Saccharomyces cerevisiae S288C: one gene and its partner. Changing the gene in region 2 together with the main gene of any one other region gives a genetic interaction. Each region holds a gene or a part of one and is shown on either strand. Other genes may lie near its edges.

Evidence for each region. A genetic interaction does not mean that the proteins touch.
Region 1: mutations in SPF1 (region 2) and HAC1 together harm fitness more than expected from each alone (negative genetic interaction), as found in Saccharomyces cerevisiae (5 studies listed by BioGRID, with this or other methods).

What each region holds. Positions count from the first base shown.
Region 1 is NC_001138.5:73,240-76,647, reverse strand, and holds HAC1 (transcription factor HAC1), read right to left. Parts: upstream 1,470-3,408; coding exon 809-1,469; intron 557-808; coding exon 501-556; downstream 1-500. Other genes in the region: protein kinase RIM15, read left to right, coding at 2,221-3,408. UniProt on the Saccharomyces cerevisiae protein: Transcriptional activator involved in the unfolded protein response (UPR) pathway. Recognizes and binds to the UPR element (UPRE) in the promoter of UPR-regulated genes such as KAR2, PDI1, EUG1 and FKB2.
Region 2 is NC_001137.3:88,113-92,072, reverse strand, and holds the start of SPF1 (ion-transporting P-type ATPase SPF1), read right to left. Parts: upstream 1,816-3,960; coding exon 1-1,815. Other genes in the region: MCM DNA helicase complex subunit MCM3, read right to left, coding at 2,221-3,960. UniProt on the Saccharomyces cerevisiae protein: Endoplasmic reticulum translocase required to remove mitochondrial transmembrane proteins mistargeted to the endoplasmic reticulum.

The DNA of each region.
Region 1 (3,408 bases), on a different chromosome or scaffold from region 2:
CTCATTGGCCCGGAGTTAGGGGGAGATGTTCGCTTGCGGGAGCACGGGAGAAGGAACAGAGCGGCGTTAGCATCAAGTCTAAGGTTGAAAAGCTGCCCAACCTAAGGGCATACATCAAGAATTCTTTATAGTTTTATATAAAAAAATATATATATAGATAAATAGACAGATAGATATGACACAAACAGATAGAAAAAAAGCAGAGCGTGGCTCTTTGAGGTGGAACCCCAGCCAGTCTTGCTCCTTGCAGCCAAAAAAGGGTCTTGTTCAAGAGCTATGTTCAGTGTCGCTGCCCAGTCGCCACAAATAATTGTAGGAGGGCGCGCCAACCTCACGTTTGCATTCTTGAAAAGCCTCTTCTTCTTCGGTTGAAGTAGCACACACTAACCGGAGACAGAACAGTAGAAACCACTAAGCGAAAAAGAAATATATGAAAAGAAAAAACCCACCAACAGCGATAATAACGAGAAAAAAAAAATTATACCCTCTTGCGATTGTCTTCATGAAGTGATGAAGAAATCATTCAATTCAAATGAATTCAAACCTGACTGCGCTTCGGACAGTACAAGCAAGCCGTCCATTTCTTAGTAATAAGAAAAGAATGGCTCTATTTGTTCAGGAAAAACTAGCATAAAAGAAAAAAAGAAAGCTTCCAATAACCCTGCATTCTGCTTTTGAAGGTACTTTAACCGGCTCCTCCCCCATCAGAGAACCACGACTAAAAAAAAAAAAAAAGAAAAAAAGCAGAAAGCAAAAGCTGGGGCTAGTGTTCTTGTTCACTGTAGTTTCCTGGTCATCGTAATCACGGCTGGATTACGCCAATTGTCAAGATCAATTGAATTGTCAAAGGGTAGACTGTTTCCCGCTATATCGTCGCAGAGTGGGTCTGCCAACGGCGAGGCCACCGCATCAAACAAATTGTTGTTGTCTACGGCAGGTAGCGTCGTCGACTCTGGTACATTTTCCGTCTTAAACATCTGCAGCTCCCATGAAGTCTCTTGGTCCGACGCGGAATCGCGCATACTCTTGGGCGACAAAGTCGCAGGCTCCATTGTACAGTTCAGAGGTGAAGGTGTGAACGTATCAGACGACGAGTGCGAACTGGCCCTGGTGTCCAGTGAAGCGCCCCTCGTGCTCTGGAAATCCCTGTACTCGTCAAGAGAAGCAACAAAAGCGTCGTGGCTGCAAGTCAACGCGTCTTCGTGGTCAGCCAGTTTTTCAAGGTTGACGCTGTTCAGTAAATTTTCCAAAAGAGAACATTTTCTCTCGAGATACTGCAGATGTAGTCTTTTTTTCTCTCTGCTCTGGTGAGCAGCTCTTCTGTTTCTCAAAATACGCTCGATCCTTCGCTGTTCCTTTTCCTCTTTTGTCTTGGCTCTTTTCCTTGGAGGCAGAGTCGACTTGAAGTTGGTAGGGATAGCCAAGTTCGATTGCGAATTACTAGTTAGTTCAAAATCAGTCATTTCCATAGTGGCGGTTGTTGTCGTAGGTGGGGGAGGAGGAGGTTGTTATGTTTGACACTGAGTTAAAGCCTTGGAAGTTTAAATAAAACAAGAAGACAAGAAGAAAGGAAAATTTCGCTAAAAAACATATTTCTGTATTCATTTCTCGAGTTGTCCATTGAGGTGAAATTTCTTCTAATATATAGTGAATGTAGGGAGCGAGAACAAAAGAGAACAAGGTGTTCAAAACCACGTTCATCACTCGGTACGATGTATATTTGCGACTCTTTTTAGCCCTACTTAATGCTGAGCCACTTTGCCTTACAACCCTCATAAATGTATTTTTATCCTAGCTTCTTTTTCCATATTGCCCTAGGTCTTGTTTATTCATGTCACGTGACTATATTTCCAGGTTTTTCTTTTTTTCCTCGTCCCTTTTGTGGGAAAAGAAAGCGTCCTTACTAAAAATGAGGGAGCTTTAACTTTAATATACAGCTTTTGGCAGCTTGGTGTTGTTTTTCATTGTAAAAATAAGTTGTTGTTCGTATCACAGCATTTTCAACTTCTGCATTGTCTGCCGTTTTTTGTATAGATATAGACGTATATATATATACAGAATTCTCTATCCTCTTAACCACTCCTGGAAGGCCTGCTGTAGAGGTTCTGGTGGGTGCTTTTACTGAATTCCTAACTCATCAAGCATTTTCCCTTTTTTTTTTTCCCTTTCCTTTCTCTTGCCTCATTTGATAGAATAGATAAGCCCAGTAGAGGAAGACAGATGTTCAATAGAAGTAACACCGCAGGCGGATCTCAGGCTATGAAAGAGGGACTTGGCATAAACAAGCTCTCCCCGATATCATCGAATTCGAACCCAAGCTCATTGACTTCCTCCAATTATGAAAAATATCTGCAGCTGGCCACAGAGAAGAATCCGTGTATGATCTTGGAGCTGGAACTGGACGGCAAGGTGCGATATGGCTCTCCACAGTGGAACACGATCACAGGAGTCGCCGATGATAGTGGCTCTTCTCCGACGTACATTGCAGACCTTATTCTCGGATCCGATCAAGATAAAGGTGTCTTTCAAAAGGCCACAGACATGCTGCTCATGAATGATGACACCAGTTGCACTATAACGTTCAAGATAAAGGCAGCCGACTATGAAGGTAGCGCAGGCTGTGACGATGAAAGTACGATAACGACCTTGGAAGCACGTGGTATCTTAATCAGGGATGGCCACACACAGTTGCCCTCTCACACGATGTGGATAGTCAAGCCTCGCACAAACGACTGGTCAGACTTTTATGCCAACGAAGACGCTCAAGACGACATGGTCATCCAGTTATCCGATAATTGCGACGATATCGATATCCAACTTCCCGAAGAGTTCGCCAAGACGCTTGGGTTCGGCGCTAAGATCTTCGTGCAGTACTTGAAGAGAATACGACTGGAAATGATAATAGACGAGTTCAATCTACCTCTGCCAAAAATGGAACTATGCCGGGTCTGTGAGAACTTTGTCCCTGTTTGGTGGTTGGAGACCCATTCGCAAAGTTGCGTTTGCGAGCATAGAACGGAATCGCTCATACAATTACTACACGATAATCTTCTTGAGCAACAGGCGATCTTGGCAAACTTCACGAAAGATTCAGAGTATAAGGGCAGTCAGATACAGGTACGTTCCAACAACTTCCTTAACCAAGTTTTAGACTCCTTAAGAGAGCTGTGTCAGGACGCCATAGATATCAACCCGAGTGAAATGGTTCCTGATCTTTACCACAGTCTTTCAACATTTCCTCAAGATAATGGTAATAATAACAATAATAATAATAATAATAATAATAATAACAATGCTTTGTTAGATCAATTCCCTATCCAAAAAGATACAGTTAGCTTGAATTCATATTTTCAGTTTTCCCCAAGGACTAACCACAACATTCAAAACGTCACGTCGTGGCAATCAAGA
Region 2 (3,960 bases):
ACCTTTGACAGCAGCAAACAAGGCATCGTTGTGAGAAGCAATAGAAGCAGACCTTTTTAAAGCAGAAGAAAATTGAAATCTACGGATAATATCCAATTTTCCGGTGCCCTCTCTATAGTTACTGTTTTTTCTTTCGACAGCCCAACCAACAGCCTTTAAGGTCGCCTTTTCCATTGGGTCACCAACAATATCACCATCTTCCAATTTAACTAAAGCGTGAGCAGCACCAATGACAAGAATTGTACTTTCTGGTGCTTCGGCAGCGCTGTACAAGTGACGAATGTTTTCGGAGTCCGCAGAGATACCAGCTAGACCTTCAAACACAAGATCTTCGCCGGTCAAAGTACCAGTTTTATCGAAACAACAAACATCAATTCTACCAGCAAATGGAATTCTAAATGGTTCAGTACAATAGACATAGAACTTGGCAAGGGCGGCCAGAGAACTGTTGACAGCCATGGTCAATTCCATTGGTAACTCAGGAGGAACAACAGATGTAATAATTAATATACAGTCCAAGATCAATTTGGATTGAATTCTACCCATTTTTGTACCCTCAACCCAAACGTACCAGGATGCAATAACAGCGAAAATCAACAAGAAAAGAATGAACATCAACGCTTCCTTATTATCGACGGAAACACGTTCAGCGGAGTAAATCATAACTCGAACTAAAGAACCCTGAGATGTTTCAAAGCCAGTTTTGGTGACGATGGCTAAGGCACCTCCATCAGGTGGAGGAGGGATATCCGATTTATGTTCAGGAGGTGTTACTTGTAATGCCTTTGTACCACCATGTAACACAGCAATCTTGTCAACACCGTCCAGTTGTAAATTATCTTCACTAGGACGTAATTTAATGGATTCCTTTAACAAGGGAGTAGATTCACCTGAAAGCATTGCTTCATTAACAATAGCGGAGCCATCGAGCAAGATCAAATCGCAAGGAATTGCGCTCTCCTCGGCGGTTCTTGTTATAGACACTAAATCCATAGGTAACAATTCATTGGTTTGCAATGCTACCCATTTTTTGTTTCTAAACACGTTAATGGTATAAGGTTTGATACCCATAGTTCTAAATTCCTTCAAGGCAGTTAATCTTTGAAATACTGCAGCTGCCTCCATGGAGATAATCATGAATAAGTTAAACAAAGAATAATACCAGAACTCATCCAATAGCCATAAGGCAACACAGAAAACTTGGAAAACAAACAATGGCGCAACAGCGTGCTCTTTGAATAATTCCATAAATGTTGGAATAGGAATATCAAAACTATTCTCACCATATAGTCTCTTCAAATGAGTTAGGTCACCGGAATGGCCCTTACATTTTTGGAAATCACCGATCTTTGGGGATTCATCAACAAGGAACTTTGGTGAAGAAAATACCTGCTCATTTTCATGCCACAAGAATCTTTTCTTTTGAAATTGGAAAAAAGTCTGCAAAGAGCCCGCTTCAGTTACTCTCTGAATTTCAACGATACCATCAGAACCATTATTTGGAGTGGTGTAGATGAGAATGTGAGTAGCTTCATTGACATTTTTAGTAGTACTGTAGTTGAATTTCGCCTTGATCTTGACATTCCAAGCAGGCATTAACATGACTAGGATGTTCAAGGATACCAATGTCCCCAAGTAGACAAAAGTCCACTCAGGTCCTTTGATGTAACGATCATATTGCTGGAAATATAGTTGGGCAAAGGTAGCGTATAACGGGAAAAACGGTAATACGTACGGCTTTGCTATTAATGACTTTGGTACCAGCAATGTCGAGTCCCTAACAATAGGACTGCTCACAAATGATTTCTTTGTCATTTACCGATTCCTATGTTTCTGTAGGTCTGATATGTCAACTATGTCTAGAGCTAAAAGCTTGCTAAAGCTTCATGTTATATGGTGGAAGAGACATTGCCACTTGGCTTTATTCAGAACACGCGAAGAGGAAGAGAAACGCGTAACGTATGGCGTGACAAGAAGCCACGAATGAGCAAGTAAGATAAGCCAAAGTATCACACATATTCATTAACAGAAGATATAGTGCCCCATAACTGCTTACAACACATTCAAACAAAAGAAGGAAATAAGCGTTTTAATACATAATTCTTTAATACACGAATAACAATTAATGAACTAAATAATCTGGAAATGAACTGAAAATTATGAATGACAAAAAGAAAAAAAGCCAAGAATGGAAGTCTTTTAGTAAACATTCCTGTGACATCAGACTCTCCAAACTTTATCGTCAGCAACCATTAAGTTATTTCTGTCCGACATGATCTTCAAACCTGCTAAATATTCTTGAGCGGAGAATTTTTCCTCCTCCGGTAGTTCTTCGTTGATTCTTTCGAACAAAGAGGCCACAGGATAGGATTCTTCTTCAAATATTTCTGTTTGCATCAGACGCGCAATAATACCTGAGATTAAAGACAATCTACCAGTAGAAATGGTACCAGGCTCCACATTGTCAAAAGAAATAACTGACTGTTGTTGCTCATCATCCTGACCTGCAGAAGATACGTTAGGTAATCTTGGAGTACCGACCTCGGTAAGAGGTCCCGACGAACCTTCCTCAGGTGCGTGAAGATGTTCTCTACGTCTTGGAGACACTCTCAACCCCAGTTGAAGCCTTCTTTGTAATTCAGCTTCCTCATCCGCAGGAAGCGGTGACATTATATCGTTATCGTCTTCACCAGCGTTCTGTTCGTCATCTTGAAAACGTAATATTCTGCGTGCTGACGATGGCGTGGCATTAACGGAAGATGCCGTTGACCTTCTTGGAGTAGATTTGATTGGGGATCCAGAGTTGCTTGCTGGTTGTCTGACTCTTTGTCTTTTTTTCGGTGATTTCTGTGGAGACCTCTTCGACAAAGCTTCTTCGTATTCACTTTCCTCTTCATCGATATCATTGCCGATATCCTCACCCAATAGTGCAAACCTTAGTAGATTGGCAGCCACTTTAGCATCCACCTTGTTGACTGTTTTGGATAACCTGACTTTGGCGTGAGCTGTGGCTAATCTGATCAAAGTCTCCAAAGTTCTTGCAGTAATGGGCGATTTTTTGGTATTATCATCGTTTCTTAAATCAGTATAATTTTTCACAATAACATTGATGGCTTCTTGTGTTAACTGTGGAATAACCCTTTCCTTGGCATATTGAACGTACTTTCTTAAGAATGGGATGGTGACTAGCTTTGGAATTTCTGTACCGTTATAGTTACCTTTGTTTTTTGCTAACTTAGCACCTGCTTGTAATAAGGGGTTGAACTTTTCGAAGACATGGTCTTCATCATCTTCTCCTTCATTTTCTACACCAGCCCCGGAGTTGGAATGCTCTTCAGGATTTATATCTGCATCCTCCCCAACGGCTAATGATAAATTCAAACGCTCTCTCACAGGTTCACCCTCTAAATAACCTGGAGGCAAATATCTGTGTGTTCTTAAGACATGCTCACTAATGGATCTATCTCTGATTTCATTGATATCGTCTGTCACAACAAATAGTAAATCAAAACGAGACAACAGCGAGTCCGGTAGGGCAATGTTTTGGTGTGGATCTCTATTGACATCGTACTGCCCAAAAACGGGATTTGCGGCAGCAATAACACTACAACGAGCATTTAATGTTGTGTGAATACCTGCTTTGGCAATCGTCACCGTTTGTTGTTCCATTACTTCATGAATGGCGACTCTATCCACATCTGTCATCTTATCAAATTCATCAATACATACAACCCCGCGGTCAGCAAGAACCATGGCACCAGCCTCTAGTCTTCTTTCACCTGTTTCCCTATCAGTAGTGACCGCTGCGGTCAAACCGACACCGGAAGAACCTCTACCAGTAGTAGCAATTGCCAGTGATGCTGTATTCAACACAAACCTTAGCAATTGGGACTTGGCAGTGGATGGATCACCCACCATTAGGATATTGATGTCACCTCTTAAATGCGAGCCATTTTCTAA